2 linked regions of the Stegostoma tigrinum genome follow. The protein of the gene in region 1 binds, or shares a complex with, the protein of each later gene. Links are inferred from orthologs where the notes say so. Each region holds a gene or a part of one and is shown on either strand. Other genes may lie near its edges.

The links.
Region 2: the proteins of gba1 (region 1) and scarb2c are in contact, whole or in part, in a cryo-EM structure (PDB 9FJF), measured with the Homo sapiens proteins. The link is inferred for Stegostoma tigrinum from reciprocal best matches to the Homo sapiens genes GBA1 and SCARB2. Residues at the interface, in NP_000148.2 of Homo sapiens: Leu130, Asn131, Ala134, Ile169, Glu190, Lys194, Leu195, Pro430, Arg434, Ile445, Thr446, Asp448; in NP_005497.1 of Homo sapiens: Lys161, Ala162, Tyr163, Gln164, Lys181, Glu183, Leu187, Phe191, Arg192.

What each region holds. Positions count from the first base shown.
Region 1 is NC_081400.1:102,610-110,861, forward strand, and holds the start of gba1 (lysosomal acid glucosylceramidase), read right to left. Parts: upstream 3,109-8,252; 5' UTR 2,992-3,108; exon of another isoform or gene 2,767-2,991; intron 2,640-2,766; exon of another isoform or gene 2,621-2,639; intron 2,615-2,620; exon of another isoform or gene 2,494-2,614; intron 2,243-2,493; 5' UTR 2,183-2,242; coding exon 2,122-2,182; intron 1-2,121. Other genes in the region: chtopa (chromatin target of PRMT1a), read left to right, coding at 3,137-3,194. UniProt on the Homo sapiens protein: Glucosylceramidase that catalyzes, within the lysosomal compartment, the hydrolysis of glucosylceramides/GlcCers (such as beta-D-glucosyl-(1<->1')-N-acylsphing-4-enine) into free ceramides (such as N-acylsphing-4-enine) and glucose.
Region 2 is NC_081354.1:76,366,583-76,373,804, reverse strand, and holds the start of scarb2c (lysosome membrane protein 2c), read left to right. Parts: upstream 1-4,113; 5' UTR 4,114-4,142; coding exon of another isoform or gene 4,143-4,239; coding exon 4,240-4,265; intron 4,266-4,961; exon of another isoform or gene 4,962-4,976; coding exon of another isoform or gene 4,977-4,987; intron 4,988-7,222.

The sequences.
Region 1 (8,252 bases):
CTCCTGAGATGCTGCTTGTGTTCATCCAGCCTCACATTTTATTAACTGTTAAAACAATGCTGTGTGGGGAACTGGACGAACACAGCAGGCTAAACAGCATCAGAGGAGCAGGATGGCTGACGTTTCGGGCCAAGACCCTTCCTGCTCCTCTGATGCTGTTTAGCCTGCTGTGTTCGTCGAGCTCTATACCTTGTTATCTCAGATTCTCCAGCATCTGCAGTTCCTGCTATCTCCAGAACAATACTCTGACCCATTTTCATCCCTTCTTACACTTTGAAGGTGCTAACTTTCACTGAGGTAATGTTCCAGGCACTGGTGACACTTTGGTACATGATTCAAATAGTAATTTATCAGATGAGATTTAACAGATTTTACAATTATAATTGACAACGGGTATATTTCAAAACCTCACTTAGAGCCTTGGGTTGAAACTTGTAGAAAACAGGAAAATGTGACAGTGATCCAATAGGGAGTATCCTTGAAAAAAAATGAACTACAAACAGGAGTAGACCAACAAGCCCAATCCACTATTCACGCAGATGCAAGTGACTTGGACAGGCTAGGTGAGTGGACGGATGCATGGGAGATGCACTTTAATGTGGATAAATGTGTGGCTATACACTTTGGTGGCAAGAACAGGAAGGCAGATTACTATCTCAATGGAGTCAAGTTAGGTAAAGGGGAAACACGAGATCTAGGTGTTCTTGTACATCAGTCAATGAAAGCAAGCAAGCAGGTACAGCAGGCAGTGAAGAAAGCTAATAGCATGCTGGCCTTCATAACAAGAGGAATTGAGTACAGGGGCAAAGAGGTCCTTCGGCAGCTGTACAGGGCCCTGGTGAGACCACACCTGGAGCATTGTGTGCAGTTTCGGTCTCCAAATTTGAGGAAGGACAGTCTTGCTATTTGAGGGAGTGCAGCGTAGGTTCACGAGGCCAATTCCCGGAATGGTGGGACTATCATACGTTGAAAGATTGGAGTGACTGGCCTCGTATACTCTTGAGTTTAGAAGGATGAGAGGGGATCTGTTTGAGGTGTATAAGATTATTAAGGGATTGGACACTCTGGAGGCAGGAAGCATGTTTCCGCTGATGGGTGAGTCCAGAACCAGAGGACACAGTTTAAAAATAAGGGGTAGGCCATTTAGAACAGAGTTGAGGAAAAACTTCTTCACCCAGAGAGTGGTGGATATATGGAATGCTCTGCCCCAGAAGGCAGTGGAGGCCAACTCTCTGGATACTTTCAAGAAAGAGATGGATAGAGCTCTTAAAGATAGTGGAATCAAGGATTATGGGGATAAGGCAGGAACAGGATATTGATTGTGGATGATCATCCACGATCATAGGGCAGAATGGCCTACTCCTGCACCTATTACCTATTGTCTGATCTGATTACTCCACATTCCCACCAATCATGATAAATTTTCACATTTGCTCGACAGGAATCTATTGACATCTGCCTCAAAAATATTCAACACCTTTTGAGGGAGAACTTTAATAACTCTCAATACTCTGAGAAAAAAAAATTGTCTCTTCTCCCATCGTCCTAGATTCTTTGGAATAGGAAACATCCTCTCCACAAACACCCTTTCAAGACTCCTCAGCATCTCCCAATGATGTCTGATCTCCTGGATGAAAAGCTATCCCATATGGTTTATCTGACTGCTAGGAACAGGTTCAGGCGTGTGCAGACTGGGAAATGAGCACAAGATCATGTAACGTGCAGGATCTGCCAGCCCAGAGCAGAAGATATAATGACAATTTCTGAAAATCTGTTCATATAGGTTATGGCCATTTTCAGGTCCTGTACTGCTGAGAAATTCTGCATTCCTATTAGATCAGGTCAGATGCAACAAGTCCACAGGTTTCAATCCTCAGTATTTAATGCAATTTTTGATGCCAAGATGGATTTGGCATTGTGAACTAACATCCCAGTGAAACTAACCCTAACCCAAAGTGAGTTGGACCTACACCAGTCTACAGGAGCAGCTGAGCAGGCTAGTTTAAAAGAAACAACCTGTTTCTTGCAGACTGTTTCCAATCTGGTTGCTGAACAAGACTCAGTGCCTGCACTAATCTGTGAAACATAACTCTCAGCTCCACTTACATTACAATTCCTCACCTGAGACTGGAAGGATTGTCCAGAAAGGCAGAAAACACAAACAGAACCAAACTGTGGACATCCTGGAGGAGGAAACTGCTCCAGTTTCTCCTTGTTAGTTTCTTCAATACCTTGCTGTATCCTAATTGAACAAAAAGATACAGGGAAAAATGTTAAATATATAATCCAAATCCAGGTCTTTGATTATGTTTAATACAGAGATAGCTGGACTCTTGTTAGTAATGGGAACAAGGGTTATGATGAAAGGGCAGGAGAATAGGGTTGAGTTACATATCAGCCATGATTGAATGGTGGAGCAGACTCGACGGATGTCTTAACGGTGTAAAACTACTGTTATGGTTTTACAGTGTACAGCCAGGCATAAGGAACTACCAGGAGTAAGACTGGGCAATGTTTAGATTGACTATCCTTCATTCCTGAGTGGACTGGTAGCATTTGTTGTAAATATCACCAGGTTATTGCCCTAAAGCGTGATCTAAAAGCTTTCAGAGTGCAGTGCCTGAGCCAGTGGTGTTCTGTCAGAAGTGGCAGACTGAGGCGGCGCAGCGTAGTCAGAGGATCAGTACTGAGCAATGGGCGCCCTCAGCGCTGACCCCTCCCCTCCCCTCCCCTCCCCGACAGCGCCCGCTCCCTCGGCGCTGACCCCCCGCCGACAGCGCCCGCTCCCTCGGCGCTGTGTCTAACATTAGAACCAGTAGGAACTGCCGATGCTGGAGAATCCGAGGTAACAAGGTGTAGAGCTGGATGAACACAACAGGCCAAGCAGCATCAGAGGAGCAGGAAGGCTGACGTTTCGGGCCGAGACATCAGCTTGCCTGCTGTGTTCATCCAGCTTCCCACCGCCTCTAACATAATCGGAGCGAGACGAACCCTTCATCAGCGAGAGCCAGCCCGCCATCCCACGTGACCAAACACGGCATCACGTCCCCCACGTGACCGAGTCTGTTCGCCGCCGCTGCCTCCCACGTGATCCCCCCTCTTGCCCAGGACTGGCACTGATTTCTGTCTTGGCCGCATGGATTCTGCTGTTCAGCTCCGCCAGCGGCAGTATGGCTCGGCTCTGCCAGTACCAGGTAAGGGGCTAAGGCCGCCTGCTGTAACTCATCTCTCCTGTGGGTCTTTCGTCCCTGGCTGACGATGCTCAGGGTGCTTCGGCCTGTAGCGGTGGACTCCGCCTGGTGAAAGCCGCCCTCAATTCCAGGCCCGTATCGAGGGTTCGGGGGATGGGGGTGGACTTGCTGGCTGGGCCTGTGTTTATTGGCCTCTCTAACTGCTCCTTGCGGAAGTGCGCTAGATGTTGTCTGTTGTAATATCGGCACTCTGACAGGAAGCACCGAGGAGCTGATCGTGTTAAATAGTGCAAGGCTGCAGGAAGATAAAACACAGGGCTGAGTGCAGGGAATCCTTGTGAATGAATCTCAAAAAAATTTAACTTAGAACATTGGAGGATGGCAATTTAAGTCTAGCGAGACCCCTCCACCGTTCAATACAGTCATGGTTGAATTTCTCCTTTGCTTCATAACGCATTATCCTATTACTTATTCTGAGTAATACAGTTCTGAGGAAGGGTCCCCGGAACCGAAACATTAACAGCTTATTTTTTCTCTCCACGGATTGTGCCAGACCTGCTGAGCTTTTCCGGCAACTTCTGTTTTTGTTCCTGATTCGCAGCATCTGCAGTTCTTTCGGTTTCCAGTTAAAAATCTTTCTGCCTTCTCCTTAAAGTACTCAGTGACCTGGCATCCGATGCACTCCCCGTGACCGAATTCCATAGATCCGCCACCTCAAAAACAAATGAATAACCGTTGTAGGCGCAGCATAGATCTATTTGTGTGCTAAACACCATGTTAATACAGGTCTTAAAAACTGAAGAACTGTGGATGTTGTAAATCAGAAACAAAACCAGAAATTACAGGAAAACCTCAGCAGGTCTGGCAGCATCTGTAGAGTGAAATCAGAGTTAACGCTTCCGGCTCAGTGACTCTTTTTCAAAACATTTTTCAAAACTTATCTAAGCAATTGAGGCCATCCAGAGAAGTTCACTAGACTGATGTGAGGTCTGAAGCACTTTGTTATGAGAAGAAGTTGAGTAGACTAGCCCCAATGTGACCTTATTAGGATAGATGTGGAAAGGTTGTCTCCTCTTGACCAAATGTGTGATCCCTTATTCTGAGATCATACCATTTAAGAGAGAAATGAAGGGGAATTTCTTGAGAATTGTGAATCTGTGGAATTCCTCCCCACAAAGGCTATTGAGGCTGGATCATTAAGCATATTTGAGATTGAGGTTGACAGATTTTTAATTGGTAAGGGAATAGAGAGTTTGTGGGTGAAGAAAGCAGAAAAGTGGAGTTGTGGATTAACAGATCAGCCGTGATTTCATTGAATGGTAGAACAGAACTCTGGACTGAATGACCTACTTGTCTTCTAGTCTTACCTAACTCTCATATCACCTTATGAGTTAAGGGCGAACAGATTTCTTGAATTGCTGTAGGTAGGCTTTCAATGTGGTTAAGGATTTTGACCCAGTATCACTGAAGGAATGGGAATATATTTCCATATCAGCATGGTGGGTGAACTTGCTCGTGGTGCTCCCATGTGTCTGCTGCCCTTGTCATTCCACATGGAAGCAGTTGTGGGTTTGAAACCAGTTATGTTATACGAGGATCATATCTGTTATTTGTAATATTTGTAAATGATCTGGGTGGACATGTAGGTGGTCTGATTGCTAAGCTTGTAGACAACATGAAAATTAGTTGAGTTGTGAAAAGTAAGGAACGTTGTCAAACGATACAGCATTTCTGAAGAAGGTTCTCAGCCCAAAAGTCAGCATTCCTGCTCCTCTGCTGCTTGGCCTGCTGTGTTCATCCAGCTCTATACCTTGTTATCACAGCACAATATAGGTCAGTTGAAAAGTTGAGTGGAGTGATGGCAGATGGATTTGAACCTGGTCAAATGAATTGATACATTCTGAGAGGTCAAATGCAAGACGACAGTATACAGTAAATGGCAAGATCCTTGGGAGCATTGATATACAGAGGGATCTTGGGGTGCAAATCCATAACTCCCTGAAAGGGGCAACACAAGGGCCTCAGTAAGATAACAAGGTGTAGAGCTGGATGAACACAGCAGGCCGAGCAGGAAGGCTGATGTTTTGGGCCCGAAACGTCAGCCTTCCTGCTCCTCTGATTCTGCTTGGCCTGCTGTGTTCATCCAGCTCTACACCTTGTTATCACAGATTCTTCAGCATCTGCAGTTCCTATTATCTCTGCCTCAGTAAGAGTATGGCATGCTCCAGAAGATTATGGGCCAAATGCAGGCAAATGGGGCTACTTTAGTTTAGGATACCTGGTCAGCGTGGATGAGATGGACCGAAGAGTCTGTTTCTGTTCTGTATGACTATGCTTTCTAAGGATCTTTGGTGATTTACTTTAGTGCATCAATGCACTACTGAGTATTGGGGGGTGGAGGCAATGATTGTTTCTGGCTGTGGTGCCAATTAAGCAGGCTGCTTTGCCCTGGATGATGTCAGTTTCTTGAGTGTTACCTTTATCCAGGCAAATGACAAGTGTTCCACCACACTCCTGACTTGTGCCTTATAAATGGTGGACTGGTTTTAGGAAGATGGGAAGTGAGTTCCTCACGTAATGTTCAGTGATGATGTGCCATTGAATGTCAAGTATTAGTTGCTAGATTGGCTTGTTGGAAAAGCTCTGAACTTGGTGTAATCATCAGTGAACATCCCTACTTCCGACCTTTTGATGGCAGGAAGTCACTGAAGCAGCTGAAGGCAGTTGAGGCCTCCGCAGCATTTTTGGTAGGAGAGGAAATTGAGTGCTAAGGATGCAGCAGATTTGGGACCAAGAGTTAGAGAGGAGAATTGAGTGAGAAAAGATAAAGAAGGAAGATTTGTAGGACCAAAGAGAGCATGGTGGCAGGAGAGAAATGTTTGGGGTAGAAGATCTGGGAGCCACAAATGAGGGACGGAGAACAGAGATTGGGTTCAATGGCAGGAGATTTGGCATCCTAGGGTGGGAGGTCCAGGGTGGGCTAAGAAGGGATGTTTGGGTGCCAGTGGAGAAGAAAAGGGATATTTGGAAATTGGGTGGGAAGGATGGGGAGCTCAAGGAGCTCAGATGAGTAGGATTATGGAAAGAGAGATGAGGCGTTTTTAGTGAAGATGTTTTGTCAAGATCAGGACCTTTACTGAGACGAATGATTTATTGCTCATGCTTGGAGTTTTACTGAAGGGAGGTAATTTATTTTGAGATGTGGACAGGGAGCTTTACTTGGGGAAAGGGAGAGCGAGTAAGGTTTATCACTGAGAAATGTGGGGTGGTTTATACTCGATATTAACAGAACTAGGCCATTTACCTCTCCTTCACCATTCAATAAAATCATTTGGTCGCAGCTCCACTTTGTCTGCTTGACATAACCCGTAAAATCACTGTTGAATAAAACTCAGCTTTTGAATAAATTTAAAGACCCAAACTCCACTATCTTTTGGGAAGAGAATTCAACTCTGTTAACCCGTAAAGGTAAAGAAACTTTGCATCAGTCTTCAATAAGAGACCTGTTATTAAACTGTCATCACCCGGTACTCGTTTCTTCACCAGAAGAAACATACTATCGGTCTTCACTATAACTTCCTACAATTTTATTGGAATGTAAAATCTTGGTTCTCGTCTTTCTAAAATCCAATGGTTATCAGCCTGACCTGTGAGTGTTCCTTCACAGAATAAGCCCTTCATTCCTCAGGAATGAGTTGTGACCTTTTTCTGAACTGTTTTTAAAGCAATTGTATCCTTTACCAAAACAGGAGGTCTAAACCATAGAAGCTTTGTTTTTGAAAGGGATCATTCAATCCATTATGTCTCTGGCAACCAAGGCAAAAATAACTGGCCATCTGTCTTAGAACATATGCTGTAGGAGCAGAATTGGGCCCTTCACCTATCAAAGCTGCTCCACCGTTTGGTCATGACTAATGCGTTTCTCAACTCCATTCTGCCTGTAACCCTTAATGCCCCTACAAATCATCAACCTGTCTATTTCTGTCTAAAACACACACAAGGACTCACTGCCACAGAAGGCTGTAGAGGCAGAGTTCCACAGACTAGCCATCCTCTGGCTTAAGACATTCCACTCATCTCAGTTCTAAAGGGTCATCCTTTCAGTCTGTGGCTGTTCCTTTGGGTCCCAGTTTCTCAAATAATAGAAGTATCTTCTCACTGACCAGACTGTCTCGGTATCTCAGTAATCTGTACATTTCAAATGAGATTCCCCCTCATCTTTCTGAACTGAGTATAGACCCAGAGTCCTCACCACTTCTATGATAAACCATCATCCCCATGATCACTCTCGTTAACCACCTTTCCAACACCAGCGCTTCCTTTCTTCAGTAAGGGGCCCAAAACTGTTCATGATATTCCAAATGCAGTCTGACAAGACATAGGCCTCAGTAGTACATAGTACAGTGCATGACAGGAATGGGCCCTTGGGCCTATGATGTTGTGCTGTACATGATGCCACATTAAACAAATCTTTTCTGCCTGCCCTTGGTCTGATCCCTGCATTCCTTGCCTATTCGTGTGCTTATCTGAAGTGCCTTAAATACCCCTATCATATCTGCCTCGTCCACTACTCCTGGCAGCATGTTCCAGCCTCCTGTCACCCTCTGTGTTAAACACTTGCCCCTCACATCTCCTTTGAACCCACCTTGTCTCACCTTGAATGAATGCCCCCTAGTATTAGACATTTCAGTTCTTGAGGAAAAGGATTTTGACCCTCAACCATATCTTTTCATCTCATAATTTTACAGACTTACATCAGTTTGCGCTAATCCAGAGAAAACAGCCCGGGTTTTTCTTGCCTCTCCTTTATAGCTCATAACATCTAATCTAGGTAGCATCCTAGTAAACCTCTTCTGTACCTTCTCCAAAGCCTCCACATCCTTCTTGGCAACCAGAATTTAATCCAATACTCCAAGCATGGCCTAACTCAAGTCTTATAAAGCTGCAATATGACATCCTGTTTCCCCAATCTCAGTTCCCCAGTCAATAAACGCCAGTATGCCATACACATTTACCACCGTTTCTGCTTGCATGGTGACTTAAAGGGAGCTATGGACTTGA
Region 2 (7,222 bases), on another chromosome or scaffold:
AGATTGGGACAACTGTTCGAGGATAAATCCATATCTGATATATTGGAATCTTCCAAAGTCCAGTTGATCATAGTTCAGGAATGGCATGTTCCTGTGAAGATAAACGATATGGGCTGCAAGATTCAGGAGCCCTGGATAACAAGAAATATCAAATGTTTAGTAAAAAAGAAAAAGGAAACATATGTAAGGTTTAGGAAACTGAAATGAAACAAGGTCCTTGAGGAATATTAAGGAAGCAGGAAAAAACTTAAAAAAGGAATTAGGATGGCTAGAAGGTGCCACAAAATGTCCTTCGCAAGTAGGATTAAGGAGAGTTGCGAGGCATTTCATAAGAATCTTAAGAGCAAGAGGAGAATTAGGGAAAAGATAAGTCCACTTAAGGACAAAGATGGGAATTTATGTATGGAGCCAGAGGAAGTGGGATAACTACGCATCGGTATTCACTAAGGAGAAGGACATAGACAATGGTGAGATTAGAAGAGGGGTTTGTTGATATTCTGGGGTGTGTCAATATTAAGGAGGACGACGTGTTGGGTATCTTGAAAAACATTAAGATAGATAAATCCCCAAGGCCTAATGGAATCTATTCCAGGATACAGAAGGAGACAAGGGAACAGACTGCTGCGACCTTGATAGAGATCTTTGCATCCTCTTTAGTTGCAGGTGAGGTGTCAGAAGACTGGAGATTAGACAAAGTTGTTCACTTCTTTGAGAAGGGCAACAGGGATAATCTGGGAAATTATAGGCTTGTGAATCTTTCATCAGTGATAGGGAAATTATTGCAGAAGATTCTTAGGAAGAGGATTTACTCACATTTGGAGAAGAATGGATTTCGTCAGGATAGTCAATATGGCTTTTTGCAGGGGAGGTCTTACCTCACAAATCTGAGGTTTTTGAGGAAGTGACAAAGACGATTGATGAGGGTAGGGCAGTAAATGTTGTCCAAGTTGACTTTACTACAGTATTTGACAATAGTCGGACGGTACAGAAGATTACATTGCATGGGATCCATGATAAGTTAGCAAATTGGATACAAAATTGACTTGGTCACAGGAGACAGAGGGTATTTACGGAAGGATGATTTTCTGACTGGAGGTCAGATTGACACCTGAAAATGCTCACTTTCCCTCTTCTTTCCTGAAGGATCCTGCAAGGCATCAAAACTCTCTTTGAGAAGGAGCTCCATCCTTCCCAAACACCAGTTCAAACACTGACAGTCTATATGGGACAGTTAATGAGCTGGAGGAGTCGGCACCTAGCAAAATACAGTGGACAACAGTAATGACTGCTGGCAAGAGCCGACCAGGAGAGATCACGCTGGCATACTCTGTCACAGCTCTCAGGGCAAAGTTGCAAGAGGCCGAGTGAAATCACTGAGCTATGAGCTAATCCCTGACCTTTCTGGTGGCAAAGTGATGAGGCAGTGCTCCTTCTGACCAAGATGAGAGAGATAAAGAATTTAAGGGCTTGATAACTGTGGACTTCAGACAAACAACTGGATGAGGTATGAGGAGTTATGCTCAGTAGTTTCACAATGAAACCTGAGGTAAGGAATCCCTATCCAGCCTCAGTGATGTTATCTCACACTCTGCACTCCACCCTGAAAATTATGATTAGCTTCAGATAAACAGAAGCCAGGCCCTCAGTCTATAGGACGTCATGCTAACATTCTCTGCAGCTTTGGTTTAAGCTTAAAATAGCTGCCGTCCAGAGGTCAGAATGTATAATTGAGTGATTGCTCAATCAAATGGATAACAGCTTTGCTGGGCTCAATTATCCTTTGCTTTCTTCTTTTCCATAGATCAATGGAACTGAAGAGACCCAAATCTGAGGGAAGGTAGTGGCGTGACGGAAGCAGGATGCATCCTTTCTTTCAGAATTACAGCAAACCTGAGCAACTAATACTTGTCACAGGGCCAACACATGAGCTACTGAGCTGGAACAACTAGAAATTGGATCCTCATGGGCTCGAGCACTTAGGAGCATCACAACGATTCGAGCACATGCCAGCTTGCTCTGCTCACTGAAGAGAACGTCACAGGAGTTAGAAAACATTCTCGAAAGAGAAACACTACATCTGGGTAAGACAGAAATAAAACGTATTTATTATTTTTGACATTAATCAACTTGATCATAATCAGCCACCTTAGCCTTCAAAATAGTTTCACAGTTACATCTGAGTCAACATTGTCAGAATGTTTTCAATGTTCAAGGCAGAATGAGGAATTTAACAAGGGTTGTTATGCAGAAGGGGTCTGTCTACGTTCTCAGGTCGGGATATAAAGAATCCCAGGGGATCCACAGACTAGATCACAGAATCCCTACAGTGTGGAAACAGGCCCTTTGGCCCAACAAGTCCACACTGACCATCCCACTCAGATCCATCCCCTAATCTACACATCCCCGAACTCTATGGGCAATTTAGCATGGCCAATCCACCTAGCCCGCACATCTTTGGACTGTGGAGGAAACCGGAGCACCTGGAGGAAACCCACACAGACACAGGGAGATTGTGCAAACTCCACACAGAGATTCACCCGATGGAGGAGTCAAACCTGGGTCCCTAGCACTGTGAAGCAGCAGTGCTAACCACCGAGCCACTTTGACTCAATGTTGAATGTGCTGACCTTTTACATCTGGTGCTACAAAATGCTGATTTTTCAGAGTGCCTGTTTCCCAATGTGATTGCATCTTTCTCAAAGGTTTTCATCATTTGATGATGGTTCCTGTTGCTGCTGCTGCTTACTTCCTCTGCCAAAGGGAGGTCTTCCTTCAAGGCAGTGTGGAGCAATATGCTGCAGATCATGTCGATGTATAACACACAATCTGGGGGAAATTGTGCAGAGCAAACTGCTAACATTGACAATGCAGAGATTGAAATTTATTGCTTGAATGAGCTTTTATTTTGGTGCTCAATGGCCACCAATATCACACTGTCAATCATGTCCTGCATGTAAGTCAGCCATGGCTCCAGAACAATGTACTCTTTTCTGTTGAATGTTGAAGCTAATGGAGACCATGACGTACTTTTCTGGCAAACAGGACGCTAGTTATCTGCCTACTACAGCTGTGGACTGAAAACTGGCACATTAGTAGACCTTGTAGCTAATTGAAAGTAGCCAGAAAATAAAATTCAGGGTAGGTGTAACTTTGAGGACCATTGGTAGGGCATATTCACCCTTACTGATCTCAGTGACGACAATTCCTATTGTAAGAAATCATGGTGATCCATCTGAAGGGCAACCCCTTCTGCCAGTGAATCTCAGACAGGTCCAAGACATGTTGTCCGGGATGCAGCACCCTCTATTCAGTCGTCTTGATGAGCCCAGGTGCTGGGGTTCCTCATCCTCTCCTCCAGCCCTGCTGGATTGGTGAGGGGCCAAATTAAAATCATCCCATATGCAATCCCCAATATCTGTATAACCAACCTCCAATTGGAACTACACAAGGAGAATGAAAAAGATGTTCCTGAACAACATATTTCGGGTTTTCCCCCCTATATTCATACCAGGGGTGAGAGTGCAGGCAGCATTTACTGCCTATTCGGCGTCAGCCTCATTCAAACCAGACACTCAAATTCCACCATCTGCCTTGGCAGGATTCGAACACAGGTCCCCAGATTAACAGTCCAGGGATAATACCACGAGGCCACTGCCCCGCAAACGAGGTCCTGACGATGAATTTTTAATTCCGGCAGACTTCGTGTCAATCCCGCAGGATTTGCAATGCCGAGACCCGTCTGCATCTACCTCTTCGTAAGCAAGTACTGAAATACAGAGCCTTGACGTCTTCGAATCAGAATTTTAAAGAAAACAGCGCGAATGATACAGATCTGAAGTGAAAACAGAAAATGCTGCAAATGCACCGCCTATTAGTCGACGCATTTCTGACAGGAGCTTCTGCTGCCGGTGGCTAAGAATGTGAACCAGCGTCTGCTGCTGTCCGAAGCACTTCTTCACTGCTGCAGCTGCACCTTTGCCCTGCCCGCGGGACAAGCGGTCGCGCATGCGTGGTCCCTTGTCTGTGCAGGGCGCAGCCGCGGGACGGGCCAGGGCGGATTGCTCTGAGCTGCTTGTCAATCAATTTGCTGCTGGCGACAGCGGCACTTGCGTGAGTTTCTGTTGCTCCTCTCAGTCTCCACAATGGGGGTACGGCCTGGAGTCACTTACACAATCGGCATTCTTTGCATTATTTTCTTAATAGCGAGCATTGCGCTCTTAGTGACTAACGTCTTCGTTGATGTTGTCGAGAAGTACGTTAAAAAGGTAAGGCCTGGGATTTGTATTTAAAGTTATTTGTGCTGCATCTAGTTGGGGGAGGTCCGTTTTGCTCAAGCTCATTTTTGCCTGTTTGATGTTTTGGATGTCCACGGTGGTGTAACAGCAGTTGTTTTGGGTTGATATTGAGGCGTAGAATTTAACAACAGGGGCCGCTGCATCAATGAGCTACTCAACATTGTATATAAGGATACTTTTAATTGGCGTTGCTCCAAGCTTAAATAAAAGCTGTCATATAAACACTGCTGTTGTTTGTTACCAATTAAACATGTTGTACAAGAAGTCTGGAATTGAAAGTGTTTGCGGAATTGGCGACGAAGACCTGATGCCGTAGATCTTTCGTTTTGAAAAACAGAGTATAATTTAGTTAGGTGCCTCAATATTCTTTTACCTCTTATTCTACTGATGTGTCGCTTGTACAATTGAGAGTGAATGTAATATGCAGGGTTTGTGTAATTGTGACATACTGGGCTGTTGAGTCATGGTCAAGGATGACACATGGCTTTTCCACAGCAGTCCATGTTCATACTCCGGAGCCAGAAAATGTTTCTCGAATGCGCAGCGTTTTAATAAGAAAACGTGGTCGAAAAGTGGAAGGAGGAATAATGATTAGGAGAGTCTGAAGGAGGAGAATATAAGAAGAAAAGAATGTGTTTGAGAGCAGCTGAAAGCAACTACGAAAAGAGATGAAGGGGGAGGATGTACAAAAAGTCGGAATTAATTTTGATTCCTTTCCAGAAATTGTTTCTGTTTTATGTGATTTGATATTGTGGCGTGCGAGCATCTAATTGAGTTATATAGTAGGCATGTTTTAAAGTAGGATGTTAAAAAATCCTTTGATTGGATGTAGTAGAGAGAACCTAGGAAAGAATAACTGGATAACTTTGTGACTTGTGACTTGAGACTTCGATTTGCCTTTTGAAGGTACTCGCATGCAAAACATTCTCCTGCTTTTTACGTAAAGCGCTCTGATTTTAGTAAGTATGGGAACAGGAGTAGGCCATTCAGCCCAAGGAGACTTCTGCTAATCAACGAGATCATAGCTGATCTGTGGTCTAACTCCATACACCTATGTCCTTTAAGTATCTCAGTACTTGGCTCTCTTAAACTTAATATTTACATTTTTGATTGTCAGGCATTGCAGTTTTGCTAATAGCATCTCTATTTTTGTATAGATATTTAATCATAGGTCATCATAGAATCCGTACAATGTGGAAGCAGGCCATTTGGCCCATCAAGTCACACCACCCTTACAAAGAGCTTCCCATCTGGACCTATCCACGTAGCTTGCACATCCCTGGACACTATGGGCAATTTAACATGGCAAATTAACCTAGCTTGCGCAAGTTTGGACTGTGGGAGGAAACCCATGCAAACACTGAGAGAATGTGCTGACTCCACACAGACAGTCATAGAGCTTAGAACTGTAGTTGACTGAGGGTGGAATCAAGCCTAGGTCCCTGGTGTGGTGAGGCTGCAGTGCTAATCACTGAGCTGCTGTGCGTTGCCTACTTGCACTTAATGTTAATTCCAAATCCTCTACTTGTCATCTTAAGTAATATAGATCCTGTTAAATTTTCTTTGTCACCATCTTGCATTTGTTTTTAATTTTTAAATAATTAATTTCATGCTCTGGTGGATTTTGATGTTAAAAGGGACGTTTCAATAAAAGCAATGTAAGGAACAAGTGGGACGAAGGCAAAAAATTGTACCATGGGAGATTCCATAACTTAAGGTTAGGTTGCATCATCTAGGTGCAATGTCAGGAATTACTACTTCATAGTGAAATTTTTATATTTGTTTGAGTTGAGTCAAAATCAGCATTCTTTTTGCCCATTCTTAATTATCCTTGAGATGATGATGGTGTCCCAAAATGGAACTTGATTTTCTTGCCATAAAACTGTTGAGGCTATGTTAGTTTAAAAAAAATCAGAAAAAAAAATTTGATATTTGTCAGGCAGCGGTATGTTAGAATTGTGAAGTTTAGAATAATTTCTTTTGGTTTATTAATTTTTGATGGCACTTTGGCTTGAAATGTAGGGTACATGGGAGGCGACTTGCAAACTCTGTTGGTATCTGCCGGACATAAGTCAGGATAGTTTTGTTATTGGGGATCAGAGGAAGACTCGTTATATACGAAAGAAGAGATGCAATGTATTCACACACGGAGATAATGTCACCAGGTTCTGAATGTCTATAGATTAGGCTCCTAGATTCCCAAAATTCTAGAAACGTGTTTCTCAAATCTTATGTTTTGTGGTCTAAAACGGACTCTAAAGCTAAACAATATCAGAAAACTTGCATTCATTTTGCATTTTACTGACTTAAGTACTCGAGGGAGAAAGGAATGGAAAAATATGTTGATGGTTTTAAATCAAATGGAGCAGAAGTATGTTTGTGTGGAGCATAAAATGTTAGGCTCTTTGGCCTTCTACTTTCATGCTGTAACTGTGCAATGAATTCTATTATAAATGAGATTTTTTCTTATTGTACCAGTGATGCTGTGACCACATGTTTGATATCATTTAGATGTGTGGGAAAAAATAATTTTTAAGAAGTTGCAGTAGTTATCTAGGCTTGTGAAGCACTGGTGAAGGGACATGTCTTGGAAGAAACATGTCTAGAAGTCATTTGATTTATTGTATCGTGTCATATTACTGCACCACACTCCACAAACCTCACTGAAGTTAATCTTTATGGCAAAAGTGACTCATTATTGCTTTTACTTCTCAAACTGAAAGTAATTAACTTTGGTGCCTGCTTTAAAGTTGACTTATGGTTTTATTCAGTCTCCCAAGTTAAGCTGTTTCACTGGAAATACTTATGTTTGACCGATTTATCTTTTAATAAAGGCTTAAACTACCTAGACAAGTACAATAATTAGTATAGAAAGGAGTTTTTTTAATGACAGCATAAAAATAAGCAAACTCAGCTAGGTTCTTCTC